Lepisosteus oculatus: one gene and its partners. The protein of the gene in region 2 interacts with the protein of the main gene of each other region in a pairwise test. Links are inferred from orthologs where the notes say so. Each region holds a gene or a part of one and is shown on either strand. Other genes may lie near its edges. The genes, in order: cysteine and histidine-rich domain-containing protein 1, hsp90ab1, ddx24 and cdc37l1.

What was found.
Region 1: the proteins of hsp90ab1 (region 2) and cysteine and histidine-rich domain-containing protein 1 interact in binary tests that used the Homo sapiens proteins (3 or more experiments, as listed by UniProt). The link is inferred for Lepisosteus oculatus from reciprocal best matches to the Homo sapiens genes HSP90AB1 and CHORDC1.
Region 3: the proteins of hsp90ab1 (region 2) and ddx24 interact in a two-hybrid assay, tested with the Homo sapiens proteins (2 studies listed by BioGRID and IntAct, with this or other methods). The link is inferred for Lepisosteus oculatus from reciprocal best matches to the Homo sapiens genes HSP90AB1 and DDX24.
Region 4: the proteins of hsp90ab1 (region 2) and cdc37l1 interact in binary tests that used the Homo sapiens proteins (3 or more experiments, as listed by UniProt). The link is inferred for Lepisosteus oculatus from reciprocal best matches to the Homo sapiens genes HSP90AB1 and CDC37L1.

The regions. Positions count from the first base shown.
Region 1 is NC_090700.1:11,117,311-11,125,100, forward strand, and holds the start of cysteine and histidine-rich domain-containing protein 1, read right to left. Parts: upstream 3,010-7,790; 5' UTR 2,794-3,009; coding exon 2,727-2,793; intron 1,849-2,726; coding exon 1,799-1,848; intron 1,712-1,798; coding exon 1,655-1,711; intron 1,192-1,654; coding exon 1,043-1,191; intron 932-1,042; coding exon 828-931; intron 712-827; coding exon 653-711; intron 143-652; coding exon 72-142; intron 1-71. UniProt on the Homo sapiens protein: Regulates centrosome duplication, probably by inhibiting the kinase activity of ROCK2. Proposed to act as co-chaperone for HSP90. May play a role in the regulation of NOD1 via a HSP90 chaperone complex. In vitro, has intrinsic chaperone activity.
Region 2 is NC_090697.1:43,351,800-43,359,188, reverse strand, and holds the start of hsp90ab1 (heat shock protein HSP 90-beta), read left to right. Parts: upstream 1-4,388; 5' UTR 4,389-4,498; intron 4,499-6,077; coding exon 6,078-6,221; intron 6,222-6,462; coding exon 6,463-6,669; intron 6,670-6,809; coding exon 6,810-6,969; intron 6,970-7,242; coding exon 7,243-7,376; intron 7,377-7,389. UniProt on the Homo sapiens protein: Molecular chaperone that promotes the maturation, structural maintenance and proper regulation of specific target proteins involved for instance in cell cycle control and signal transduction. Undergoes a functional cycle linked to its ATPase activity.
Region 3 is NC_090703.1:18,815,283-18,822,947, forward strand, and holds the start of ddx24 (ATP-dependent RNA helicase DDX24), read left to right. Parts: upstream 1-4,657; 5' UTR 4,658-4,677; coding exon 4,678-4,724; intron 4,725-4,734; exon of another isoform or gene 4,735-4,812; coding exon of another isoform or gene 4,813-4,823; intron 4,824-5,374; coding exon 5,375-6,246; intron 6,247-6,962; coding exon 6,963-7,367; intron 7,368-7,665. Other genes in the region: ppp4r4 (serine/threonine-protein phosphatase 4 regulatory subunit 4), read right to left, coding at 2,824-2,913. UniProt on the Homo sapiens protein: ATP-dependent RNA helicase that plays a role in various aspects of RNA metabolism including pre-mRNA splicing and is thereby involved in different biological processes such as cell cycle regulation or innate immunity.
Region 4 is NC_090698.1:23,642,879-23,650,707, forward strand, and holds the start of cdc37l1 (hsp90 co-chaperone Cdc37-like 1), read left to right. Parts: upstream 1-4,826; 5' UTR 4,827-5,001; coding exon 5,002-5,100; intron 5,101-7,829. Other genes in the region: gak (cyclin-G-associated kinase), read right to left, coding at 2,634-2,775. UniProt on the Homo sapiens protein: Co-chaperone that binds to numerous proteins and promotes their interaction with Hsp70 and Hsp90.

The DNA of each region.
Region 1 (7,790 bases), on a different chromosome or scaffold from region 2:
ATGAAACTTTTCTGTATTTTCAAAAAGAAAAACTTGTGTTTAAATTTCATTGCCCAAAGGGGGTGTCTTACCCTTCATGAAAAATAGGTACTCCAGCATGATATAGACAGGTCTCCTCATTGCTTTCCGGCCCAGCAAAAGTCTATAAAGTTGAAACCCAACACAGGAAACTTAGATATTACTAAACTACGCCTAGTGACAAAATCCTAAAGGATTTCCCACTACCCAGAGAGAAAACAAATATGTAAAGAGATGACACATGAATCAGAAAGAATTGGTTAAGTTTCTGCTTTGAATTTCTTATGTTGTAATAAATGACAAGTGAACCAAAAATCCAACAGAAAAACAGAACTATATCCAATGCACAAACCAGTAACCAGTTTCCTAGGACAATTCCAGTTTTCTCTTCAAACCAATTCCTGTTGCCAATTTTTCCAATAGTGAATGTATAAAATGAATTCAAAATAGACTGAAAAATAAAAATTGTAACTGAAAAACTGGAACTGGTCTCAAAATTGATTGTTTTATATCTTTAGTTCCTCTATAGACATTATTTTTTAAATTTCTCTATTTTACAACACTTGCAAATATCAAGAAAAGTACCTTGTTACTATGTTTTCAAAGTTATATTTTCTTCTATGTGCGCATTTACCTTTGAACAGCCTCCATTTGTACACGATGTACCAATTTTCACTTCTTCTCCCTCGTTTTCTGAAAACAAAAATGTTTATTTAGTTATACAGTAAATGGCAAAGTAACAAGTGTTAATACACAAATATTTTCACAATGTTAAGAATTATTACGTTAAAAAACGTGCTACCATTTACCTGACTTTTCTTGATCATTGACTTCTGAGAGTTTTAATTTTTCTAAAGCCTGTTTCAGTGAAGGTGAAACTTTATATTGCAGCCTTACAAATGGCTCATCGGCACTGTAAAGGAAAAAATAAGAAATATTTTGTACATGACTATGTGACAACTTATAAGCAGAAAACCAAAAAGTATCAAAAAGTACTTAGATTTTAGGATGTAGAAACCTTTACCTTGGTCTTTGGAAACTTTCTACCGGTTTTGGGCCCTGAATCACATATTCATTGAATTTTGATTTTAGATCCTCTGTTGAATCTTTTTTATCTTCTGTCTTAACAGGCTCAGGAGGCTTCTCCTTGTTATGAGGACCCTTTGTACAACCCTTGAAAAAAATTATAAAGGGACACATTCACCTTCACAATTAATTTTTCTTGAAAGACTTGAAATAATTTTATTTATGAGCAAATTGTATTTTCAAGAAATTCGTGGAGCTATACAACACCACAGATAATACACAACAGAAGAAAAAGGTATAGCAAATTGACTTACTGAAAATGAAAGCAATAAATATTTCACTCAAAATCTGTCTTTAAGACAGTTTTGAATGCGTTACAAAACTGTAACACATCTCTTACTGATGTGGGTTACATCACTCTTAAATCTTCCATTTCACTTTATACTAACTGCACAGATTTTGGATTGAACGTCTCAGACTATTTGGTTTAATTTTTATAATCAGAATCAAAATGATAAAATAACTGTATTTTAATACTTGATATGGCACTGTCCAACACTTTTCAATTAAGTTCTGTCACAAAGTACTGAATCAAAGACAATATACTTACTGGGATGCTCAAAAAGTCTGAAAAGTCAGTTGTCCGTCTTTTACAGCAAGACCACCCCTAGACAAAAAGAAGATGCTACAGTAAAAAAATCATGCTTCAAGCTTTAAAAAGCTTAGTGCAGTCTGAAAACTTTTTTACACAAACCTTCAAGGCATCGTGAAACACGGGTACTCCAGGATGATACGTACAACCATCTAGAACAGAAATAATAAACAGTAGATAATCGGAAAACACTAGAGTACATTGATTAACATCACATGGACTTCAGTACTGCAGATGCAAAATATTACCCTCATATTTTTACACTGCTTCAGTCAGGATACTAACGCACCTTTCAGGTATATTTCAACCTCATTCATTCGTTATTTCGACAATGCTACAATCAGACTTAGGTTGGTCTTTACTTGAAACATCAGGAATTACTAACCGGTCCTGAATCTGGTCGACTGACATATTAACCCTAGAAGTCCCCAGCTATATAATATAATCAGCTGGGTAATGAAAATTAAAAAGATTTGCAATGCATTCGATCCCTCCCACGCACACACATATTGCAAGAGTACAAATAAATCAGATCACATTACCCAATTTTAGATTCAACCTTGACCACACGTGGGATCAGGGCATATGATCATAATGCATTGTTAAACGTTTATATTACACGAGTTTCTTATAACTTTCCTTTACAAATAACCAAGGCACATCGAAAACCGGCTTATTTTGTGCCAGTAAATGAAACTAGCTGCTGAAAATCGGGATGACCTTTCCAGAAAATTCTTCCGGTTTACCATTTTCTAACAGTATGTTTGATATACTTAACTTAATTTAAAAGACCAATAGATGTTTAATTCAAAATAATTAAATATCTCGTTAAATAACGCTACATACGTATAAAACACATTTTTAAAATAACACATGCTTGCTGCAGATGGAAACTGATGTCACCAGTAACTGTTACTAAGTAACCTAAAAGGCGAAGTCAAAATATAAAACTAATATAATAATAATAATAGTAATTAAAACATTTGCATCCCTATCGTATTCTTGTATATTTTAACACACGTGAACTTACCATCAGGATTATCCTCGGGGTTAAAGCGCTGTCCGCAACCTTTATTATAACACAGCACAGACATCATAAAAAAACTGCGGAATTTAACAAATCCCTATTAAAAGCAGCAACGTTGTTATAAAAAGATAAAAAATACGACACCACAACGACCCGAACTTTACGTATCAGATCACAAAAACAATCACACAACGGCCCAAGCAGAGGGGTCTGTGCTTAGAAGACACAAACAGTAGCCGCACCGCACTCCATTCGTTTGCACAGATACTTCCGGAAATTACCGGGGCCTTTCGGGAAACTTCGCGAAGTTTCTGGTATCGGAAATCTTCGAGTATCTTCGAGTACCTTCGGACTGACGTAAAGCCGCCACAGAGTCCGCTCTTCTTTTCACAAACGCGGAAACAGTGGCGTCTAGTGGAATTTATGAATATTGCATGGATCTCGTTAACATCAGAAAATGAATTCCACAGAATACAAACGGTATGTTATGAATGTCACGCCTTTATGCCTGCCTGCATTTTTTTTTAACAATTGAATTAATTGAGCTAGGGCAGTGTATGAGCTGCAAAGAAATAAGCACAGGGCAATTCCACATTAAACGTTTAAAATAAAGAAGAAAAAACAAAAATAAATTGGCTGAGGACTGTACAGTACTTCAGGTGTTTGAGAGAATGAGAGAGAGAGCAGGAATATGAAGGAAAGGAGATCAAATTGAAGATAATATGAGCATGGGTAGTGTAAAAGTTAAAAGAGATGGAATTCTTGGGTAATAATTCCAATCAGGATTTCTATTTCTTCAGTCATGGTTCTCTTCATCATTGTGGCTTTTTTGGTCATTGTTGCAAGGTCAGCATAACCATATCAGCCTGCTTAATAAGTATCATGTTATTTTCTAAATCTGCATTTTACAATATGGTAAATTCAGTTAAAATTAAATTAATAATTTAAGTTACAGTGTTACATAACCATGACTCCATACCCTAATCCAGACCTAACCTGATCCCTCACATGAAGCAGTCACAGAATTCACAGTTGTGAGTTGTACCTTCCGATAGAAGGTTAACATATTAAAACGTTTATCCCTAGAAGGGAAATCAGGAGAAAATGCATAGAAACAACACTGCTTCACTCCATCAACACACATGTACAAACATAAGGGTACAGTCACATGGATGAGGATATTTTTCACTTAAATTTCTCTATAAACGTAAATAGCTTATGTCGACTCCAGTACTTTAATTATGAGCGTTAGTGTGTGGGTAGCACTAAGGAATATTGCTAGGATTTTTTTTAAAAAGGGGCATTTGAAAGTTGTCGAGTACTGAAAAAGAAACAAGGCAAAACCATAGATTTATTTTCACCAAAATACAACTATCTTTTTTCATAAATATCTGATACATATCCGTTTTTATTTTATTTCCCGACCATTCACTGGATTCTGCTCCGGCTTTTAACTTTCGTCTCGCCTCTCATGGATGGATTACTCTGCTCTGGACTTTAATTCACCCTGGATCTCCCTACGGACTCCCTTTGGACTTGTTCGCTTGGACCACGCCTCCCCCGAGCACCAGTGCACCGTTGACACGCCCTCTTGTTCGTCTACTGGCCCCGTTCCTTGTCTTCTCTCCCCGCGTTTTTTCCACTCCCTTTCTGGATTCTATTGTCTGCATATGGTCCTGAAAAAAACGTTTCGTGACAAAAACAGGGTCCATCACTCTCTAATGTGTTTTTATGATTATGATCAAACATACAGTATGTCTTGTTAGATTGCAGCCCATGCTATCTGTACCATAGCTGTGCGTCAGTGCAACCTGATTCCCAGTTCTTTAATTGATACTAAATAGGATCAACACATTAAATGAACTGATGTCTGCAGTAAATACTACAAAGGAATGAAAAGGAAGTGTCATAGAGCAGATTGGGAAGCCTTGATCTAGGTTTTCCACAGAATGAACAAGAAAACATAACTCTTCATAAACTCTTCAGGGCAAAACAATTTTTGTTTCTTGAAACAAATAACAACAACAACCTTCAGTTATCCTGCAAATCAGCAATAGCTTGAACTCTATTTAGTAATTCCCTATTGGTTTAATTAAAATTCTCTATGCAGTCTTCATAACCGAAAACTAATAAGATAAAACTAGACAACACCTGTTAGCAGCTGTTGTTTTTCTTTTTCTTTTTTACTGTAGCCATCTGAAGATACTTATGAAAATGCCTACAATTCTGATATGGTGAAAGGAGAAAATTTAAACAAACATACAACAACACAAGCAAATATACATAGGTAGGTACAGTAATTCCAAGTTCAAAACAAGAGTTCATTCAGGTTTTCAAGGCATTCAGTGAACAGAGACCATAAGACTCCCTTAGCCAGATGAAACACCAGTGTATTTCCTACCGCCAGCAAGCACCAATTTTACTGTACAGCTGGATAGAGTAAGGTAGTCAGGGTAAAGTACCTAACTCAAAGTATGACAACTGCGCCCGTACCTGAGATTTGAATCTACAACTAGTTCAGAGACCTATTTCTCTACTCTATCCCCTAGGTGGGTTGTACTTTTGCTAAATTCTTCCTAATGCATAGTGGTGCAAATTGTAATCAAATGGATGAGAAGATTACTCCAAAAGTCATAAATGCACTTTAACTAACATATAGTAATGAGAAATGGAAATGCAAAGCCATGTTTTATTTAATTCTTATCAGGTATAATCCTCGTTCTTGTTACTATAATCAGATTTGAAACAAAAAAATACATTCTTTGATGATGTCAGTTTATTATTTTGTTTTAAATAATAAAGACTATCAGAATGAAAAGAACGAGATGCCAGTTTCTGGTATCACTCCTGTTAGGCTACTTTCAAGGACTATCAAGGTCATTTTCATGTTGAAAGACACACCACCCATCAATTGGCTTGTACAATGCAATAGCAGTGTTGTCACAACACCTTCAAATACAGTATGTTGTCTTCTAGCAGTACAATCAAGGGTGCATTCCTGAGTGGATAAAACACATCAGTCTCTTTTCTGTCACCTCAGATTCTGCCTGACTCACAAAAGCTGATTATTTCCATGTTTAACATCAAGACATTTCCTTACCCAGATATGTACAGAGTTTTTAAGCAGAGAGTTTGCTATGGTCAAAGCATTCTTTCTGCACTCTCTTATTCTATTACCACTGCACTCTAAAGACATGACATTTCTCAACCCTAGTGTTTTTGTGTTGTTTTTTTTTCTGGATAAGCTTCTTAATTGTCAAAGCAGTGTATCTCAGTCAATGTGTCACACAGACAGTCCACCTTTAATAGTGTTGATCATGAATTAACCACTTTTGCAAATCCTGCAATCCTGCATTTTCACGTAGTAAATGTCTATCACAAGAAAAGAATACAACACAGCATTACATTCAATCACATCACACCTTATTTATCACGCACAGCAGTTTTCAAATGCCACCAGTGGTTCTTTGATGTTAAATTGCACTTTTTTTGCATTTTGGTTGTGCATCAGAATATGCAATATATGGTGAGCACAGTAAATCTTAACTCATCTGTAAATTTAATTCAACCTGACGAAGATAAAATATGCAGATTTCAAATTAAATTCAGTGGCTCCATGGCCTTGAAGAAAAGCTCAGATAGATATGCAGTAGATACGGGAATCCTACTGTTTATATTCAGTGTTAAAACAGACATAAGAACAGACTCTGTTTAAGTTAGCCTTTCCTTACATTTATTCAGTCGTAAATGCAGGAGCTAATCCTTTTACTAGAATGAAAGCCATCACCCACTGCAGTAGCATGATAAACATGAACAAGAACTGCAAATATAGACGCGGGCCAAAATGGAAATAATGACAAGAAAAGATACATGAAAGCAAAGCACAATCTGATTGAAGGCTGGTCCAGTAGCAAGGTTGGCTGATTTTCTTTTCTGATCTGCTTTGAAGAGCTTTTTTTCTTTACCAGGGGCTGTGTTCAGGGTTTCCTTTTTAAAAGTGCTTTTTCCAAAAACATAATTAGGTCTGTACTGTCTTTGTGTGATCCATTTAAAGCATAGAGTTGGATATTTACTCTGATGAGTTTTCAATTTAACAATTGTAATTCATAAACAGACATCTGCAGATACCGAACATTTTGGAATCTTTATATTCTACTCACCATGCTAACCTTCAAATCTCAAAGTAGGTATAAAACCCTCAGGGAATGCTGTGTTCATACCCCAGCTTGTTAAGTCAGTCTAAAATCCCTCTGATGGCCTAGATTCCAAGGGTTCTGCAATATGAAGGAAGCCGTCAGTGGGAAAGTGTGACTAATGTTTCTCTACTAAATCGTGTACAATCATATTTCCTCGTGGTCTGTTTGCCCTTCTAAACAGCAATGCTATTTCCTAGAGCTATACTGTAAATATTATTTTTCTCATACCTGGTTTGATATGCTGCAGTTGGTCAAAGCTGGTCAAAAACTGCATTTTTTTAAATATTATTTTTTACTTGGTAGCTACTGTCACTCACTGTTGAAGGTAAAGATTGAAAGCTGTTTTTAACCAATTTTATGCTGAACACCATTGTATAACACATGAATATACTGAAATTAGAAGGGCAAAACAATTTACAGGTATTCAGGTCTTCTATAGAAGAATAGAAGTATTCCAATTTACAAGATTCAGAGAGTTTCATGCTCTTTAAACATGGGTGGCTTTCTTATTTGAAGAGGAAAGGTTCTTTTGTAGAGACAACAAGATGTTTTATAGGCTCTTGCTGGCTGGTTTCTGTTCCAGTTGAGCTCTTTGCTCCTAAAAAGTTCCTTAATTGGAAGCACTGCCAGTTTATTTTTTCTACTCCAAAGTTGGAGATTCAAAGTTGGACATGAAGAGGGATCAATTTCCCTACGGGATCAATAAAGTCTTATCTATCTATCTCACTTATTACTTATTGAAGTATAGAAGGTAACATATATTACTTACAGTATGTATTAAATAATATTACTGATTACTGAATATTAACGATTATATTATGTTAATTATTAAAAGCAGCAGTTTAAAAGGCAATGAACTTTCCGGATGATG
Region 2 (7,389 bases):
GGGCCCACTACACTTGGAATACACACTTTGTAAGTAGGTGGAATCAACAGATTAAATAAACCAAAGGTTTTGCTATGAAATTTATGGAGTAGTTATCTGACCTCAATCAACCTATGCTTAAAAAGTATAAAATACTGTAGTTATGTCTAGTGGCTTCATATTGGATAAAGAATCTTGTTGTGTAATAGAATCGTGAATGTGGTGAAACTGAGATCACGCTGGGAAGATAAGAAAAACAAAGTAGTCAACAGAAAAACTGAGCGAGTGAGCTCAATAGTGCATGTAAAAGCATGGAAAGGGCAATCACAGAATACTGCACTGAAATCTGCTGCTCTCTTAAGACAGTATGTCCTTAGAATCTCCAATGCAGAATTAAGACCCAAGGAAAAAACAAAGTCCAACAGCAGACGGCAAATAATGGCTCAGAAACCAGTTGAACCCCGTGACAGACAATGAAGATGAGTGTGTACAGTTGTAACTTCTCAATATTGTGGTCCAGTCTGCAACACCAAATGTGAAGCTGGTAACCTGATAGATGAGTGTTACGATCTAAATCAATTTTTCTATCCACAAGTTTATCTTGATGTCACTTGCACTTCTGCAATAAGCCTTATCCTGCTCTGGTGAGAGCTGCTGACAGCAAGGTTGCAAAAGTCAGATCCAGCACTTGTAATAAAACAGTGTTTCTTACTCTCTTTTGTAATATTGTTGGCTTTTACAGTAGTTCCTCAATGTTTAGCAAGAACATTGACTTTCAGTACCTAATCTGTGAGCAGAGAGAAAGATAGCCCAGAACTGTTTAGTGTGCAACTAGTGTTGGTACCAATCCATCTGTTAGCCTAATGATGTGTGGTGAATTTGTGGCTATACTTGTATTTGTGAAATTTCTATACTCCAAAAATTAAATAATGCTGAGATTGAAAAGGAGGCTTTAGTTTTTCTCATTTGAATTCCACATTCAGGACACAAAAGCTACAGGTCCTTCTTTTTTATTCTCAACTGCATCAGACATATCACTGCACCCAAACCAGAAGGTAATGCATCACAGGATAATAAATTAATAAAATATCCAGGTCTTTGAGGGAAGCAATATTCATCCCAAGGTGATGCCAATCTGGCATGATGTGACGTGGAAAATTAACAAAGGACTCTAAAGAGCTGCACAGATTAAATCAAGAGATGCTAAGCAGGACACTTGAGAGAAATGACATTGAGACCAAGGCGAAGAAATAACTTTTGTTTTAACTAAAAGCAAAAGAGAGACATAAAAGGTAGAGCTGTAGATCGGGAAATTGGCTCCAAAAGACAAGTATATCATGAAAATAAGAAAAATCAATGAAGCACAGAACAGTATTGTAAACGAAAAACAAAATGCTAGTTTTCAGTAGATATTCAAATAGACGTCAACACACGCTACAGGGGAAAAGAGGTAATGTTATAAAGCATTTATTATGTTGTTGACAAACATGGACAAAAACTATGTGACCTGAATGAAGTACTGAAGAGGAGGTACTGTATACTAGAGCAAAATTCAAAGGACATTCTATGTCTGAAGGACAATAGTAGCTTTTATTTTTTCTAAAAGGTCAGCCTATCTAAACTAATATGTATGAAATACTATGGATACTGAAAGAAAATCTTGTTTTCATTCACAATTCTCAGGTGAACTGAAATCTAGTAGCTATTACGGCCAGCAGCCATATCACCCTGCAACTCACAACTGGCAACCCACTGAAGCTAAGCAGGTGTGAGCCTGGTCAGTACCTGGATGTGAGACCTCCTGGGAAAAACCAAGGTTGCTGCTGGAAGAGGTGTTAGTGGGGCCAGGAGGGGGTGCTCACCCTGTGGTCTGTGTGGGTCCTAATGCCCCATTATAGTGATGGGGACACTACACTGTAAACAGGCACCATCCTTTGGATGGGCGCTTCTCAAAAAGAGTAAGGGTGTAATCCTTACCAATCATGGCCTCCTAATAATTCCCCTCTATGAATTGGCTCCATTACTCTGCTCTCCTCCCCACTGATAGCTGATGTGTGGTGAGCGTTCTGGCGCACTATGGCTGCTGTTGGTGGTGGAGGGGATCCCCATTACCTGTAAAGTGCTTTGAGTGGAGTGTCCAGAAAAGTGCTATATAAGTGTAAGCTATTATTATTATTATTATAGTTCAGGTGGGTAGCTGCATCAGCATGCGTAGGCTGCAAAGGAACAAGTAATAGGTTTATTCCACGCTGAAAAAAAGAAGAGAACACAACGTTTCGGCCGTGGACACGGCCGAAACATTGTGTTCTCTTTTTTTTTTGGAAGCATCATATTATTATTATGATGATGGTATTAATGTGCTGATAAATGTGCCGGTGTTGTACATGAAATTAGCCTTAAAATTATATCAAATATAAAAATACGTTGAACATACCTACCATATTTAATATTCTCAAAATGTTGACCGTATTTCAGTGTTAAAAAACTCTGACATACCGTATTTACGATACGTAACATCAGACTGAAGGATCTGTGAGTACCTTTTAACCAGTCCTTATTGTATGGGTAGCAACAACCCAATAAAAAATAGTATTAAAAGCAAACCAGAACTAGATAGTTAAAACTAAACATCCATTGTGACAATAAATTATTTATTGTATAATAAGTTATGTTATTGTATAATAAAAAGGGGTGGTAATATTATTATTATCGTTTTTTTTTTAAATTAAAACAGCACTTTAAATATTTTTCTTTTTTCATACTCTCCTAAATTTTATAACCACATATCGACACAATATTTAATCGTAAATTCAAAATTAAGAATGTTCTGGATTGTACACATAAATTCTAATGCAGCTCAAGAAAATATATTTAACTACGGAGGCAGTTGCGCAGTTGCTATGGAAGCAGCTTGTTGCACGACAACCGAAAACGAAGCCCGGCAAGAACACCGCATTTAACATCCTGTGACGTCAGGAACCCGGGCGGGGTTTATGCAGAAATTTCTGGAAAAACCTAAGCACGCATTCGCGGGTATGTCTGTATCCTTCCGTTGGAGTAAGGAGTTCCATAATGAATCACACGTGAGAAGTAGAAATGTAGCGCATATCAATTCAGCCATGAAGAATTTGGTATTATAGAAAAAAATCATTTTGGAGTTAAAGATGGGAAGAGGATATTAACAAAATATCACAAGTAAAATATAACCAAACGTTAACGTAAAAGCGATATTGGTATATTATGTATTAAGATTCATACCATAGCATTCAGATATACACCGTATGTACTGTACTTTACACCCCTTCTCGTGACGTCCCTTCTGAAAAATGAAATACAGTAAATTTGTACCGTATTCCGCACGGTATTATCCATTATCCTTTCTATTTTTTAAAGAATTTACCACACTTTACACATTTAGTATGTTTCCAAGGTTTCTAATGGTGCCTTGCAATATTTCTCCATGTTCACCGTGATGTGTACATGGTTTATACACTTCTACTTTTCCTGCCTTAAAGATACAATAAAAAAGTTGTGATATTTTTTTTAATTTGCCTCTTAAAAGCTATAGGACAATTTACTGTTGTTGTTTCATCTGTCATCTTATTAACAGTCATCATTAGTATCACCAGACAGTTCTGAAAATAGGCTCGGGGTAAGTGTTTTGCCAACAGGCAGATTAATGTACAGTATCATATAGCAATGTTGACGTTTTGATATTCATGATAATTTTGATTTGGAAGTAGCAGCTACTGCCAGATACTAGTGCTAGATCCCCAACCTCATTTCAAAGCCACACTACATTTATGTATATTTTCACATACATTTCCAACACAATTGTGTTATTGAGATTTTTTGGATATATGTAATAATACAACAAAAATATTTTCTTTGCGACGAAAAAGCGATTTTATATATATATAACATGGAAAAGTACCACATCTCACGTTTTTTTGTTTCATGTACAATGCCCTCAAATTTGAGTATCACGTTATCATCTTTTTTACCCTACAAGGCTGTCCCGTGCAAATCTTCGAGGGTTGGTGTGTTGGCAGGTTGTCATAGTCTCTATAAATCATCAGTACCCGACAAGATGGGGAAAGTTTTGAACTGGTGCAATAAAACCCATAATAGACTGACAAAGAGCCAAGCAAGAGCAATGACCTTAAGACAAGAGACTGCAGCCTTAAGCACAGTGGTGCTGTGTTTATGATTGGTTTTAGAAAATCCTATACAATGATTTAAAGGCTAATACTGTATTTACTTATTTCTAATTACGTATTACGCACTACACAATACATAGACCTGAATAAATACCCATTCCAGTTTCTCATTGGGAGGCTGCAAGAACAGGGAAATAGCGCTTGTTTACGCGGATGGATACATCGGCAAGCGCAGAGGGTATAAAGATACTGTCTTTTAAAAGGAAATCCCTTTCAGTTTCTCAGCGTCAGAGTGCTTGGGGATCAGCCTGTGTGGTTGCATTTATTTCAAGAAAAGAACAACAGCTAAAACGTTAAAGGTACGTTTCTTTCCCCTTTATGAGTGTTATATGTGGTATTTATAGGTGAGCATAATAATTTTGTAAAAAAAAAACGTACATTGATGAGAGATGAGGTTTCGAAAGAGTGGTCCAAGGTACAAGGCTGCCTCCTGATCGCTGGATTGAATGAGAAGAAACATAAAACATGGGAGAAAAGAAATATCTAGTTCCCCGAAGCTGGGAATGTTCCAGCTTATTAGTGATCAGAGTAAATTTCTCTCAAAGGTAGATATGCGTCTAAAACGTTGTTTAGTACAATGGTTTCTGATGGAATCGTGATGATTAACTATTTAATTCTATAGATACATTTCCAGCACCTCCGATTGACATTAGTTTGCTGTAAGAGATCTAAAACTTACAGACGTTCCCGGTTTGTTCCATGAAATAAGTACATCGCTAGCTCTGACGTGAATAACATGCTGTATCACGCTTTGTCTTCCTGTATGTGAACGATTTATCCGTGGACATAAGCAGTAAAAAATGTGTAATCGACTGGATAGCGTTATGTTTTTTTTTAGATAAGCCGAAGTGAAAAAGATGTGCTATTCTTTCACTTGCAGCATAGTTATTATTTATTCTTGTTAGAAGGTTAAACCCACGTGTTCTACGTTAAACTGCATAGCAGGTGCCGCCATATTGTTCGGCTCCGGCGTCACTTCCGTCTCGAATGTATTGAATGATTGTGCGGAAAATAAAATGGAGTCTGTCCCTTCCCTTTCTTTAAATTACCGTTGAAGATCGTGCTATTTTTAACACGATCTTCGCTCCTTTGTTGCTTAGGAGGTATGTTTAACTTGCATTCCCAGCTATGATTGGGTGCCACTGTGCTGCCAAAAGCTGGCACACTGCAGGTGAAGGCTGGAGAATGCTGCATTGCGCCACACTGTTCATTTTTCTCTTGCTGTACTCGATAACGCAGCTCGAAATTCAAAGAAAGGTTTCATTTTACCCCGAGACTCGCGAGTCTGTTTTTGGTTGAGGTTCAGTTAAGGTGTCTCATGTATTCACAATAGCTCATTTATAAGCAGTTATCTTTGGATTTAGGTTTGCTTTATTTAATGGCTTATTGTGTGAAGCTCAGTTGTTGGAGTAGTTTGCTGCTGGTCAAAATTTACATTTGAAAAATGTAGTTGATTTATTGTTAAACAATAGAATTTTCCTTAATCTTCCAGAGTACAAAATCAAGACGTGCTGTATGTAATCCAGGGATAGGCAAGTCAAAGCGGTTGTCAGTTACTGCTCAGGGCTGCACAAATACCCTTTCTTGGTGATCCCTTTCCCATCAGTGTCTTATGTGATGTTGGCACACCCTGTAGTCCCAAGGTGCCTTGTTAACCCTGATATCCTGTCTGAATTCCACACTGGAAAATGTTCTGTACTTAATCTGCTGTGTAGTGGGGCTGCAGGCCGCTGTATGTCACCCAGTTGGGTGCTGCACTCCAGGGTGGCTGAACAGGGCCCTTTATTTAGTCTCCGCTGTTCCTTAACCCCTGTATGTATTTGTGTAAAAATAAGTGAGTGTTTCTCATCATTCTTTTTTTTACTTTTTATTTTTTAGATGCCTGAAGAAATGCGCCAAGAAGAGGAGGCTGAGACTTTCGCCTTCCAGGCGGAGATTGCTCAGCTGATGTCTCTGATCATCAACACTTTCTATTCCAACAAAGAGATCTTCCTCAGGGAGCTGATCTCCAATGCTTCTGATGTGAGTCCCCTGTGTCTCAGGATTTTTGGTCACATGTGATTGAACTTCTATTTAATGAACCCTACCTCCATCGAGCTTGGTTCAATGTTGCTTTATTTAAAAACAGCTGTGGCTGTTTTGTAATATACCTCTTGCTTACATTTTAAAAGTATTGTAAAAATATTTTTATTTGTCTCTTGATTACCTAAACACCTCTCAATCCTGTCTGCTTTATTAAAATGTAAATGTTATGGATTTTTAGGCACTGGACAAAATCAGATATGAAAGCTTGACCGATCCCTCCAAACTGGAAAGTGGCAAGGACCTCAAGATTGATGTCATTCCAAACAAGAATGAGCGTACCCTGACTCTTATTGACACTGGAATTGGGATGACAAAGGCAGACCTCATCAATAACTTGGGAACCATTGCCAAATCTGGCACAAAGGCTTTTATGGAGGCTTTGCAGGTATTGCATCACAAAGCTGAGAAATGCATTAAAATAATTTACATTAATAATGTAACGTCTTAGCGGTGCCATTGCACAAACAGTTTAATAGTAAATGGCTTTTGTTGGTTAAACTCTTATCTCAATGTTTGCTCTTCCAGGCTGGTGCTGACATCTCCATGATTGGGCAGTTTGGTGTGGGGTTCTACTCTGCTTATCTAGTAGCTGAGAAAGTTGTGGTCATCACAAAGCACAATGATGATGAACAGTATGCCTGGGAGTCATCTGCTGGAGGATCCTTCACGGTCAAGGTTGACCATGGTATGTGGCTTTGTTAGATGACAAATTAACCTTTTTTATTACCTTAAATTCAACAGCTTTTGGATTTTCATCCTGCAAAGTGGTCAGGCCATAAAACTGGTGGCAGAGCATTATATTTTCAAAATCATTCATATTTGGAGTGGTACCTGTTGCCAGGTGAAACCCTTTTCTCCAGAACACTTTACTTTTTGCCAAAGACTTACTAAAAAGCAGGACAACACTCTTGAAGCTGTAGAAAACAAGAACCTTTAACTAATAAAACTTTTTTTGAAGGTGAGCCCATTGGTAGAGGCACCAAAGTCATCTTGCACCTGAAGGAGGACCAGACTGAGTACATTGAGGAAAAGAGAGTCAAGGAAGTTGTGAAGAAGCATTCACAGTTCATTGGGTATCCGATCACTCTGTTTGTAAGTATTTTGA
Region 3 (7,665 bases), on a different chromosome or scaffold from region 2:
CTCTGTCTGTTTGCCATAATATTGGCTCAGATTTCAGATTAAGTACGAGTAACTCTCTGACGTCCCCCAGTGTAGCAGTGAATTTCAAGCCAAGACTCAACTATGAAGACCAAAGAATTTTCTAAACAACTCATTTATAAAGTGGTAGAAATGCACATATCAGGAAAAGAGAGTGAAACATTTCAGACCATTAATATCTCTATGAGCATGAGGAAATCAATCATTAAGAAATGGAAGGCACCCAAACCCTGCCTAGACTAGACTGGCTCTTCAGACCAAGCAGCAATCACTGTTCATTGGCTCAAATGGTAGAAACAATATTTTGTTCACTTCACAAAGGGTGCTTGTTGGTATTGAAAAAAACATCTCAAATCACATGGAGTTTGCAACTAAGCTCCTGAGTGGCACTGCAAATATGTGGCGAATGGTTTTGTGGTCAGACAAGACAGGTTTGGAAAACTTTGGTCTAAATGCAAAGTGTTGCAAACCGAATAGAAAGTATTGCTACAGTACAGTAAGTCAATGCCATGCCAACAGTCAAGCCTATAGTTCTGATTCTCCTCAGCAGGAACTGGGAAGATTCTCAAGGCTTGAGAGAATAGAGTTGGAGTAAAACACTAGCAAATCTGATAAGAATATCTGCTTCAGACCTAAACTTAACTAAAATTCAACTTTCATCTGAACAATGACCAAAAGTGCAGAGTGGCCCTGGAGTGGCCCAGTCAAAGTTCCATTTCAGATTCTGTGGAAAGACTAGAAAACTGCTGTTCATATACATTCCCCAAGCAACTTGACATAACAAAGTGTAAAACTGCCTAGACAAATGAGCAACATTTACACCAAGACAGTGTGTACTGTCACAGTGGTACTCAACTAATAACACTTGTCTACGATTGCTGCCAAAATTGCTTGCATCAAAAATTGAATTCAAAGGTCTGAATACTTATTCAATCACTATGCTCTATTTTTCTTCTCTTCTAATTTGCAACAAATGTGAGTTTTGCTCACATTTGTTGCAAATTACTTCCTCTGGAAGTCTCCAGTTTGAGCACTTGGGTTCTGAATAAAATACTAGGTTTAAAAACAAATCGGAAAATGGGACACCATAAGAATGATCTTAACACTAGCACTGTACTTATATATTTAGTGTGAATAAAAAATCCAAACAGAATGTGTTGACTAGATTACTAAGTAAAAAGTCAAGCCCTGTAATGAGGGAGGTTTCGGACTATGCATAAAAGCAAAAAATCAAAATCAACTCATATGCTGCACTCTGGAACATACACATGCACAATTCCAAATTGCTTTATTATATAATTTTTGTTAACCAGGTAACCACTGACCTAAACAACTCAAGCTCAGGCATAACCCAGTCAAATAGGTGAGTAAGCTTTGCCAGTGACTACTGGCACTGTATTGTACCAGGCCATCCAAGCCACTAATAGTGCACTACACTTGGTCGACATCATGTATCTACAAAAAATACTACATTCAGAGAACAACAGCAGAACTGAATTGCCCTCTTTCATTTAAAAATGACTCAAACGAACGTTACTTCACACAATATGGAGTGCTGCACAATGAAATATGTTTCATTCTTGAATGTAGGTGGAGAGGAGGTGGAGTGTGTGGATGGAGGAGTAGGAGTAGCCTATTACTTGAATGCCTTTTTCATTGTAAAAGCTGTCATAGAACCCCAGACAAGAAAAATAACTCTTTGAAAATACCCATTCCCCCAGGAATATCGTATGATGCCACCGAACCTGAAAACACCGCACTAGACTAAACACCTGAAAACCACATCAATGCACAATAACATTAATATCACTTGCTTTCCATCACAGTATGTCTCAACATGCTGTAAAAGTACATTATAAGGTAATCAAACTGAAGAATAATTCCCTCAAAAAATTAATCAATCACGCAAGCAAGGGTAAACATTAGGAATGATTAAAACGATTATATATCACGTTTAATAAAATGTAGCATCCGCAAGTTTACAAATCGTAAACCATTTAATTGTTCAGTGGGTTAAATGCATAGTAAGGTTTCGGCTGAGGTCTTTCAGTATTAATTAAGTGTCCAGCGAACAACATTATTTTCACAAACCCGGAGACCCGGCGAAAGGATTCCTCCAGAGTGAATTCTGACAGAAAACTGCGTCACGCACTAAAAATGGGGAACCCCCATTACATAGTAAGCTAGTTTTAGAGGCTCATTTGCAGTAAGAGCAGTGAATTTAATGTTTTAACCAACAAGATACACACAGATTAATTTCAGACAGATCAAGAATTCTAAATGTTGTCGTAAATACTTGTATGTTACAGAATGCATCAAAGAGCACGTACTGTTAACATTGAAGAATATTATATACAAAGTGTAGAATACAACATGCAGCATAAATTATGCTTGAATACCATAATTTGAGATACATTTCATCAGCTGTTGCCCATATCTTTTCAGCTGCTCAATGAAATTTTAAAATCGTTGTGAACGTGTAATTTATCCCCAGATATATACATTATTCATTTATGTAACACTATTAACCGTATGTCTACCAATCTGCGTTTTAAATGGTCAAATTTTAGCAGCTGGACAGCTTTTTTAGAATTAATGAAAGTGTCTTTTCAGACAATTATATAAATATCATATCTGAAATACCTAAAATTCACATTAAGCATCTTATTTGTGAAAATGAAGTTACACATTCCACAAAAAATAATGGAAAGATACAGATTACATTTCTGACATACGAACAGATACAGACAGATTTACAAGATTCACAAATACCGTTTTTAATGTGTTATATAAATATTAAAGTACCTTCAGACTCCTGCGTACAGGTCTTTCAATGATTGCGAGGTCTTGTAGGTCATCTATTTGCCCGAACAAACTGGACTGGTTCAACGTCATTTTGTTGAAGTATTAAGTCTAAATTTTCTCTCTGCTGGTATCAATGCTCTATCATGATCTTGTCTCTGCCGTGACTGAGCAATAGGTTTCTTTGATTTGGGGAAAGCTGAATTCCACCCACGACAAAGCCTCTTTCGGCAAAACTGTATGTTGCCTTACAGCCTAGAGGATTACAGTCGTGTCAGTCTATAACATTAAAACATAGGTATCCGGAGTGTTTCTTCACATGATTATTTTGACTGATTTGAATAACTTTGAAAACATGTTATCATATACTCTATCGACGACCATTTAGTGTAATCTACAGTTCTTTAAAATGTCCTGGTCTCGCCACAGCACAGGATATTTTCCTCGACAAATGCTTTCAGGTTGAAGTTCTTTGAAAAGCCTATAGGCAGCGTCTGCTCTTTTCGTTAAAGAACCAAAGGAAGGATTAAACGATGTCAGTTCACGCGAAAACTCAGTGTCCACCCAGTTATAACTTTTAGCCTCTTCCTTGACTGTTTTTCAGTCTCTCCTTTTCAGCGTTACATACAGTAAGTCCTCTACTCTATTCCTTCTATAGAGGCCGGCTCTTCATGTAAAATTATTCAGTCTGACGATTTCTGCATACTGCATAGGCAACTATTGTACAGTTCACTTGGCATTAAATAGTTAAGGTCTTCAGTTTTAAAGTCTTAATCAAACCCAATAAGGCGAAAATACGTTTTGCTACACTTGCACTGCTACCGACAGCCTGGAAAGGGATCCCTGGACTGACATTCACTATCCACACAGAGAGAGCTGCACAGTGCAGCACCTAAACCGGTCTCCATGGAGACGCGGCACTACAGCAAGCCGTGGCTCAGCGCTGACAAATTTACCGCACTGTGCGTTAAAAAAACACAGCCGCGTCGGAGACCTGACAAAGCCCCATGCTATAGTTCTTTATTATACCCCTTATTTACAGACAAGGTTTATCTACGAATGTGTCTTTGGTTAATAATCACACCTTACAGTGACCTAAGATATTAACTTTAAACAACTGTGTTGGTATGGCCATTGTGTTTCTTTTTTTAAAACGAATCACTGATACTGCATGTTTGGCATAGTTAAAATATTTCCATATTAGTAGATAGTAGACAATAATTTATTTTTACATATTAATATTCAGTATTGAAAGTTTGCTTACTGTAGTTAAACGTCAAATAACCAAATATAAAATGAATCGGATCCGTATTACATATATATATGTCAACTTAACAGGCAATACTGTTTCTGATGCCAAAAAAAATGACAGGGTACATGCTATGTAATAGGTTATCTGAGCTTTGTTTAACAAAATGTAACCTTCGTACAGTCAGACGATGCTGTTTAGTTTCACTAGCTAAGTATCGCCATCACATACATTTGGCCTCAATGTTTTCAACACATCTTTACAGCAGTTAATTTGAATTACTCACAAAACAGTAATACGTTTTATTTCTTAACTACGACAAAATGAAACAATTGTCGATGCAGTCTGTGTGTGATTATATGTGAAGGAAAACGCGTTACTTGATTTTGAATTTTCACATTTAAATCAGCGGAAATACAAATAGAGTTGTATGCAAAATACAAAATGATCCTGCAATTCAGCATCCGACAATTACCAATGAAACAATAATAGTAAAGCCGGATTGCAAGAACAACCTCTAACATTCAAACCAATTTGTTAAAGCGTGCTTGCATTTTGTGACCTGTTAATAAAGTTATTCAAACCTACTCGCATGTGATTGGTTCACAATGCTTGTGCCCTCCTACATTGACATGGCTGCGCCCTCGTGCAAAGTGTGAGTGTTTCTTGTTTTCATGTGGAATGTAGATGATCCATATTGTCTTCAAACGAGAAAGCTATCAAAAAAGTGATAAATTCATTTTATGTACAGTGGGTGCGTGGGTATTTTTGTTAAAATGCCTGCTGGTGGCATACATCTTAAACGTTTACCATCATAATGCGTTGCAATTTCAAAGCTCTATATTCTACGCTAGATGAAATGTAGCGTTGCGGTAATACAGAAACAGTATTTAGAAACATTTACTGTTCTTTTTCTTTCAGTGTAAATTGGGTATTTATACATTGCATGATAAAACTTATGTAGCCTAATTCTTAGAATTAAAGCTGCTACTATCAGTTCGTAATGATGCAGAGAAAGTGAATATTACAAACGTTCTTTCTTTGATGATTATTGGGTTTTTTTGTAAGTCGTGTTTATGGTGAAGAAAACGAATTAAATAGCCCTTGTTTTTATACAGCTAAAAACCTATATTAACCATTTATATTATCTTTACTACATAGTGTTAATTAGAGAGATTGTATTTTATACGGGACATTTAATAATACATAATTTTAATTGGAAGCAATATTAAGTTTAGGTTCACAACAAAGAAGAAGGTTTCCAGTCTTCAGAAAGGTTAATTTGACCTTGTCTTTGTGTTTCAGAAAAATGAAGACTAAAAGATCAAAGACAAATGTTTTTAAGACCATGTTCAAATCCAAACGGGGTATCCAGGTGAGAGGAAAGTGGAGTCCAGTAGAGATCGACCCTGATCTCTTCTCAGAAGAGAACATGGGAGGGCTGATATGCTTTGAGGAACTCAGAGACTACAAGCTTGTTGACTCTACATTCACCGAGGAGAAGAAAGGCAAGAAAAGAAAGTTGGCAGTCGAGGAAGACTGTAATCCTGAGGTCAGTGATGGACAGCCAAAGCAACCTGCTAAAAAGAAAAAGAAGAAGAAGAGTCAGACTCAGAAGGTGGAGCCTGGAACTGGAATTGAAGCAGATGGCGAAACTGCCGTAGCTGTTCCACCAGTGGATGATGATTCCACTCTTCAGGAAGACAGTATACAAACCCAGACACAGCTGAAAAAGAAAAAGAAGAAGAAGAAGAAGAGTCAGACACAGAAGATGGAGCCTGTAGGTGATACTGAAATTGGAAATGAGGCAGATGGTGAAGATGCAGAAGACGTTCAAGGAGTGCCACAAGTGGAAGATATGTCCTCTCTTCAGGAAGATGGTATACAAACCCAGGCACAGCCAAAAAAGAAAAGAAAAAAGAATAAAACAGTAGCAGAGCCTCAGGTAGCTGAACTTCCAAAGCCTAAACAGAAGGTGAAAAATTGGACCAGTGCTGCCCTTTCAGGGTCAGGAAGTCAGATGTTGGATACGTCTGCTTGGAAAGATCTGTTCATTCCAGAACCAGTCCTCCAGGCACTAAGCTCCCTGGGATTTAAGGCACCTACTCCTATTCAGGCTTTGGCTCTTCCTCCTGCCATCAGAGACCATATGGACATATTAGGCGCAGCTGAAACAGGTGAGTGAAAACCGATGCTGTTCTTTGAACAGAACAACATCACTACCAATATCTAGTGACAGTATAACTGAAAATGCTGTGGGATCAAATTTGAATCAGTCTGGTCTGGATTCTGATGTGCTCTACAAATGTCACTGGGCTGAGAGTCCTGTTGTCTAGCAAGAGATGAGTTTACTTTTGAACATGGTTTTGTGGGTCAAAGCGGAATAGACACCAGCACCCTGTACAGATCCTTTTTTACAAAGAATAACAGAAGGTATAAATGAGGAGCTGCATAAATCAGCAGATTGCAGTCCTAGTAGAGCTACCCTACCATTAGTTTCCTTGGCAACAGTAAGACACCAGCAGGTACTGGTTATAAAAGAATATACAGTACTTCACTATTTGTTATGTTAGGGTGGCTGTTATTTTATTATTTATCATTCTGTATGTTTATTTATTGTTTAAAATACATACAAAATTTAATTACATTTGTTTTCTTATCTTGGTAACTGAATACATTATAAGAAATCAATTCAAATATCCCTTGAAATAATCCCAGCCAAACCTCTATTAAAATGGTTGATGTGCAAATTACTTCTGGCATTGTGAAAGCAAGTAACATTTCAAAACGGACACAGGTAAATATTTCCTGTTTGTGATTATACGTTTGATTTTTCCCCGTGTGAATAACACCATCGGTTCATTATGCATATCCCATGCCTATCTTCAACCAGGAAGCGGAAAGACTCTGGCTTTTGGCATCCCCATGATCAATGCCATTTTGGAGTGGAGGAAAGCAAAGGACGGGCAGAGCGAGGAGATGATTGACAACCCGAAAGAACATGGGAGAGAAGTGGGGGCAGTCTGTCTGTCTGGGCCAGAACCCCAGGAGACACCAGCGGACGGGGATTCAGATGGGGATTCAGAAGAGGACTGGGAGGGGGACAGTCACTCGCAGAAGCTGGGTTGTGTTAAAGTCATAGAGGATATGGAGTTTGACTTCAGTTCCAATCAAGAGACTAATAAGTCCAAAATGGAAGACAAGCGACAGAACCCGTTGCTGGGGCTCGTCCTCACCCCAACTAGAGAACTTGCAGTCCAGGTGAAGCACCATCTAGATGCTGTGGCAATGTTTACAGGTCAGTAGTCAGATTCAGGCACCAGTCCTCGGAAAAAAATCACACTACACAAAGTGCTCTCACTCTGTTTTATCAGTACATACGGTAAAAGGGCTGAACGGTTTTTTTCTTGGCAAGCCGCCAGGATAAAAAAAAACCCTGTCGTTCTTCAGGACTGGGCACAGGACACAGTTATTTACAGTCTTGTAAATAGATTCTTATTTTCAATGAATATCTGTATGTTAAGAACATAAAAAGTTACATTCAGGATGTCCTTCTAGCCCATTGATGTGCTAGCAGCTAATCCGATAATCTCATC
Region 4 (7,829 bases), on a different chromosome or scaffold from region 2:
GTAGCAAATACATCTCAAAAGAAAGCTGCTCTGACTGAAATGCCAGTGCAGTGCCTTTCTGCTTGCTTCTTGTAACAATGTTGACAGTGAATGATAGTTTAGAACCACTTAAGTAGTGAATAAGAAGAGGAGGTGAATGTCAAGTCACAACTTCACTCAGAAACTAAACCCAGTCATTTTGAGTAGGGCCATTCCAATGCCTTTTTTAAATAGCATTTATTAGCTTATTATTTCTGTAAAATGCAACACAAAGATTAGTTTTTGTTAATCTTGTCTCTGCTGGTTGTGGATGTATCTATGGAGAACTAAAGTAGAAACTATTATCAAGATAACTATTGCTTTAATTTATCAACTGAAGCAGCACATAAGTTTGTATTTGGTTACAACTGACATTTCATAGACTTCTGCTTAAATTCACTAATACGTATATGTTGAAGAAGAACATATATTTCACCACCAATACAACAACAGCTCCATCAGATTCCAGCTCCACCTCAAGTCTCTCCTGTACAAACTGCACCTTTAGATCTAGTGATTCATCCCTGTATTTACTTTCACTTCCCTGTCCTGTACAGTATGCGCTTTGGTTTCTGTCAGCTATGATCCACGATCTGGATAATGATGTCTTGTACCAACTGTACTGTTTCCAATTGATGATAATAAGTCCTTGGATTTCTTTTGACTATCTGGCTGGAGGAACTGAAACTGAAAATTTTTGAACAGAGAAGACAACAGGACGATCTGTTCCAAGTATTTAAAATACTCCAAAAACACTGACAAAGTAAACTCAGTGGACCTTATTAGAATAAACAGTTAAAACGGGAATAAAAGGACACAGATGCCAAGTCGCTGGAAGAGCATTTTAAACCTGACAACAGGAGACTCTTCTTTAAGCAAAATTGGGAATATGGAACAAGCTACCAATCCATGATGTTGAAGGTAATACTTTGGTTTCTTTCAAGAAGCAGCTTGATGAGATTCTTGGATGGCTTAGTTACTAACTACTTAATGGGTGAGATGGGCCACATGGACTCCTCTCATTTGTAAATCTTTTATGTTCTTATGTTATATATGCAACAGGTACAGAGTTAAATATCACTCAGGACGTTTCAGGGGAATGTGATTGGTATAGGTTTAGAGTTATAATCTATCTTTTTGCTGTTGATGGACTAATGCTACCAGATATTTTATACATTGGAATATGTCACTTATTCCTTATTTTTTTCTTCCTACATCAGACAAGTATGGAACAAAGCATTGTCTAAAGTATTTTGTGTGGAAGTTATTTCACAAAGATTCTTCTACAGTAGGTGTATTAGCAGCCTGAGGATATTTAGGATCAATACACTACATTAGTATCCACGAAAACCCAAGATAGGTTGAATAGCAATCACATATTTGACAATGCTCGTTATCTCCTACATGTGTAGTTTCATCTGATTGCCTTTAGAAATGTCTTGTTACACTGGACACTGCATTATGGATGATCCTCTTGTGGTTAGGCTGTTGCATTGCTCCTGTAGTGAAAACCCAGAATAATCTGTCTACCAAATAACAGTTTAAGCCCACGACATTAGCATACTTAACACAATCTAACAAAAAGTTAAGAAAAGTGAATTGTAATGCAAGATGAATATGTGGAAACCACAGTGCTATTTTTCAAAGGATTTTAAAAGCTAACCAAGCCAAGAAGACTGCACTATTGTGATATCTCTTTTTGGGAATGGCTTTTTTTGCTGAGCTATACTACCTAATTAAACATTTTTGAAAGTATCCCGAATAAAAGTCTACAGATTTCCACAAGTAGGTCTTCCAAAACAGCAACTGAAAGTTCAACTGTAGTCTTAAAAGGGCTTATAAATCTGCACCATATCAAAACTACTTTACACTTAAATATCTACAAGGGATTTTCTTTATAAAAGCAATCCTTCATGTAGGGTACTTGGGGAAAAAAATCCAAAATGGGACATGTCATAAGCACGTACTCTACAGTGCTGAACGGTTGCACAACATGATGAATGACCATGTCCTGGGCGTTCTATCTTCAATCTAAAAGTAGCACAAATAAAAGAAAGCAAGAAGCAGCCAAAAGTGATATTTTTAAACTTTTCGTGGCACGGTGTAGTAAAATTAGCCTGTTCTTTAACGGGAGCTCGTTTTAGCCATTTAAAGTAATTTGAGAAACATGTACCGCTCATGTCCTGTGTTCTGATTGTTTGATATCTGTACTTTCCCTTGAGAAAGTGCATCGCGCTGTTCCTCTCTGCTTTTGAAAGGAATGTTCCTAAACTGTTCCAAGTGCGATACTCATTCATACGTTTTGCCAAGTGGTGATCTATCAACACATGAACTCATCAGCACAATAAAATGATCCAAAAGGCATGAGAGCTTTCTTTTCCTCATCTTCCGTCACACATCAGCCAGCTTTGTCTCACAACAACATTTTCTTTCGTAAACCCTGCCGGCAGGTGCAGCTGCACGTACCGGCTTACAGCCAGCCAGGCCGGACCTGCACACAGGTAAAGTGGAGCACTGACAGTGCTACCTGCCCACGTAGCCTTTACCTTCAAATAAATTAACTTATTTAATGCTGGGCATCGCATGCGACAAATTTACAGAATCGGGCATCTCACCTTCGGCAATTACTCTTTTGATCCTCAGCTTCATCTCGCCGAGCTCCACGGTTTGCCCTACGAAGTCATTCTGGTCCCGGCTGGCAGCCCCAGCAGAGCCGGGCCCCGCCAGGAAATCAAGTGCCGACTGGAAGAGCGACATTATTCGTCCAGCGTCCGGCCCCCTCAGGGAGACAGTGCTATTGTATCTTCAGCAAAAATTCAGATCTATAGGATACCTCGTCCCTAAAAATCCAAATCTGGAATCTTTTATTCAAATTATAGAACTACTCATTCGATCTTCTCACCGCATCAACACACTGTTCCTGCAACCAGAGAACAGCCACCATCATCACTGCACTTCCGGGAGCTCTGACGACAACAGTTACGTCACCTACAGCCCAACCTCGACCAGTTCTGCTTACACATGCTGAATAAATTAAAGAAAAACAATGAAGTCTGTAAAATGATACGGGATTTATTACTAACACATGTCTATTCATTTATTCTATATGAGTGAAAAACGTTGTACTTATTTCACAGAAACACTTTGAATTTTCCTCAACATGTTTAAAACAATTAAGGACGAGATGAATGAAACGAAACAGGTTACAGCGCAATTCTACCAGGGTTAGTCTAGATAACACCGCCTTGCTTTTGTCAAGAGAAACTAAAGTTTGACTTTTCAACTGTAGGTCTCTACGATGTTGTCTATAGCTTTTATTATTTTATGTGAAAAAAACGCTTTTTCAAGAGACGTGGTTACTATTTTTAAAGACGTTATGTGATATAAACATGATGTAACACTATCCATGTGTTAAGTTTTATTTTAGTAAAAGTTTTGAATTGGTTTACCGTTTTTTACAGACATGCAAGAACAAGAAAAGATTAAATATTCTACACGTTTTAAATCTTCAGGAATGTTAATTCACCCTTTCTGTTTGATAACGTGTCAAACTATTAGGTTAACTTGTTCCCATGTTAGTATTACATTCACTTATGAATTAATTGACTAAAAAAGGAATAAAATGTAAATGAAAGTCAAAATAACATTGGATAAGAACACATAATACATATATATAAATACAGAGCATGGCTAATATTGCTGTTTAAAGCCTTCAGAAAAATAAGGTAACGTTTAATTTATGTTAAACACCTTATACATGAATATAAGGCCAGCGTGTAATAAAAAAATATATTTATTCTTATAGTATTTTTTTACGGTTGAGCTTCAAGCATTACTGTGTTGTCTGTCGTTCACCGTTGTAATCTGAATAGGCTATTCCCCTCTCCTGCAGCGTTTTTCTTATCTGTAATTGGCCAGAGGTTGTTGGTCTCTTCTGTGCCTCCACTGATTATGGTAAACGCGAACAAGGGTATGATTCAGCACACTGTTATTCAAGGATCAGGGTTTTTTTTTTTGCAACGACCTTTATTTACATAATTACTAGAAAAATACAAATTCGCAATTAGCGACTCTTTTTTATGAGAGCATCACGGTTCAAATAGTTAAGTTAAAATCGACTAAGTCATAGTAGATGTGGAAAACATTCCCTACAATTTGTACGGGCTATGTGGGCGTTTATGTTCTGCAGAAAAAAAAACCGCTAACACCTGAAGAGTTTGTGTTAAGCTATGTCAATGAAGACGACTTTACGAAGCATGGACTCCTGAATCAAAAGGTTTCCTAATCACATAGGAATTTTATACAGAAATCCTCAAAGTGTTATTTCCAAAATAGCTACGGATGTTAACACACAATTCCATACAATTGATGTGTTACACGATATTTTCAAAGAGGAACGTGTCTTCAATTAAACTTAGCAGCTATCTGATTGTCAAATAAGAACGGAACGTTAAATGGGGTTCTAATTCTATATGTCAGAAACCGAAATTAATATTCCCCAGCCTTGGTATAAAAGCAAGAATAGTATGAAAACAAACAATCCACCAGCCTAGAAATGTACTACTGTATATTAAATTTACAGTGGAGCATATTTCGCAGCAGGAGGAACAAAGAAAAAACTATTACAAAAATGGAGACTTGACCGCCTCGTAATTTGTCTTCAGTACAGTTTTGCTAATCGTAGTCTTCGTGTCGCATAAAATCATAAAGCTCTTTCCAAAATTCGCCTTGGTTTCTATACAATCATAACAGCTAACTTTTCTTTGCCCGTAGATGTCATATGACCACAACACAGCAGTCATGTGCCCGCGCACGCCAGAGTCACGTGGCTGTGTGAGTCAGCAACATGGCGGTGGACGTTTATGTCATTTTCTGAAAAGGGATTCTGAGTTTCCAATGCCCTGATTCGGACAGGATCATTCTCTCTGTTCTTATCCTACTGCAGCCGCAGAGATTCGAAGGAAGGGAGAGACAATAGCGAAGATGGAGTGGTTCGGCAGTGGATCTCCCGGATTTTCTAGGGAGAAAGATGGTGAAAGTGTCGGTTCGAACAGCCTCCTGAGTTCGCCACTGTGCCAGCAGGTACTTGCTGAATGTAGACAGAGATGAGTCTTGTAACGGTTGCTGAAAGTCAACAGATGCACGCTGTTCTCATGCAGTAAATGCACACACTTTAAAATGTGTTCGACAAGATCAGTAGTGAATTTGTAAAAATCTCGTTGTTTACTTACTTTATTCTTCCGAATTACAACCCATCTCTGAAAATTGTATATTACGGTCTTCCAATTTGTTATTATTGTAAATGCGTGTTAGTAATGTAAAAGTTGTACAAAATGCTGCATTCCTGCTAACATACTATAGCTATATCAAACGACGTGCTTTGCAGTGCATGTTATTATTACATTCTAAACAATAACCCGCAACTCACTTTATACTTCAAGTACAAATTCAACCGCATTGTTTTCAGAAACTAACACTCTTCCATGGATAACGAAATATACCCTGAGCCTCAAAATCAACTTGTTTTCAGAAACATGTCAGTCTTTTTTGCTTGGTGTTCTGACATTTTATTGAGCAGCCTTTATTTAGGCAAGGCAAGCTAATTAACCTGATTAGCATTTGTCATGAGCAGGGTGATTAACAGGGTGTCTCCTGTGAAAGTCACAGGTTAGTAGTGTGGGTGGTTACTGTTGGAAGCAACATAAGCAGTGTACATGTATCTTGATACATGCTTTGCATCAGGTTGCAAGATGCTGACATGTGGGCTTCAGTCCCATTCCCATTTTAGAGCTTAGATAACACTGTGCCTGTTCATTGGTCTCTGAGCCCCAGATGTCCAATGTTTTTCCAGCTCATCCTGCAAACATTCAGTGAAGCTTAAAACTGATGAGTAGGGCATCGATGGCATAATTGTCACATTTCCAGCTCACAAGAAACAAAACATTTTTAAATGGGCTGTAGCAGGACATGTTTTGTTCTCCAGGAATGTTGTCATGTCAGGACGAGCCTGCAGGAAGTACAGCAAGGCAACTCGCAGGAGTTCATCAGTGCAGTGCAGTGCCGTGCAGTGAGGTTGCCCTCAATCGCTGCAACTGGAGTTCTGTAAGGGACTAGACACTTCTCCACAGACTGTCGCACTTGGACCTCACCCAGCGATTCTGGCAATGTCAGACAATCAAGCGAGATGCCATGACTCATAGTCTCCCTGACTGTGGCCAGATCATTGACGGGCTGTGTTTGGCTTTAACATCTTGCCAAGTTAGAATTTGCTGGCTGTGAATAACCCTGACAATGAGGGACAGTGTGCTGACTTACTCCAGCCTCCAACATACTGATGGGTTGACAGCATTGTTTTCTCAATAAGTGGAACATGATGTTTCCTTGCAGTGTTAATTTGTTATTTCGTTGATTTTCACCAGGTGTGACTTTCAGCAGGTTTCATCACATGCAAAATCCACTCTTCAAGCTATGGGGTAATTTTAGTGATTATACAATAATCACTGGAGTGTTTTAGACTCAGTCAAGAATAATCATTAAATCAAAAGGCAGCCAAATACATTAGCCAATATTCAAAACCTGTTTTCCATTTTTCTAAAACTAAAACAGTAAAACTAGAGTAATGTATTTTTAATGTTCATATATTTAGCTTAAAATCTTGGATTTAGAATGCAGCCAGTTCACTGTAACTGAATGATATCTAATGAGACAAAGCTACTTGCCTCTGACAAGCTGACGTCCTATGACTGGATAGCATGCACAAGAGCTCTGGCGAAGTTACAGGCCTTACGAAACGGTGGCCCATATTAAAAGTACACTCTATATAAGAGTTTTTACTTTTCAAATGAATAAAATGCAGCCTGTGCATTTTAATAAGGGAAAATCCCTAGTGGATCTTAAAATTGTAGTTTTTATATTGGGACATAGAAGGGGCTTTTGTGCAAGAAACTGGTCCTTCAAATTAGACCTGATTGAAACTGAGCTTTAAAAATATATCAAATGCGGACTGTTATGGGTATTAGCAGGGTAATGTTGTAATAACAGAAATATTATTTTCTAATTGTCTAGATTTCTGGTTTGACAAAGTCATGTGTGATGACTGTTGGCTTTGCCTTCAAGACCTATTATAGAAAACGTGTCTTAACATTCAGAAAAAAGTGACTGTTCGTGTCACTGTATCCTAACAGCTAGCGCACATAATTTGAAGTTGACCTCTTTTACTACTCGAAATATATTCGTTTCTGGTTTCAGTTCATACAATGCTATCTGTTGATCAGAAATAAATGCATTAAATAACAACCAGGAAGTTGTACTTAACCCTTGTTCATCTTTTGCAATCTTTTAGTGACTGAGACATGTCTGGGTGCATTTGGTCCCTCGCCCTGATAGCATCTGTCGCTACAACAAGATGAGTTATGAAATTGACGTACCAAAAGTGCCAAAGTAAGAAATCTCTAAAGATGGCAAGGTAGTTGCAGTGGAATTGAGATGTAATTCTGATCTGCAGGATGGGCAGTACCACCTGAAGACGGGGTGGGAGCGGGGTTAATTCAGGCTGGGAGCAAATCGCTTGGGGGGCATTTTAGCTGGTTTGAGGGATTCTGCTCTCAAGATCTCCGGATGGGAATTGGTGGAACCTGGCTCGAGGAGTGGGAGCTGTTTGTCCACAACCTAACACTTATGCTTCAGTGTTTCCAATTTAGTATTCTGGTTGAGAAGGAAGAAATTGGCCTCAGAAGACGATTTTCGGCGTGTTTTCCTGGTTCACCGACGGAGATGTTTGCGATGGGGCAGGTTGAAGTGCAGCTGCCGAC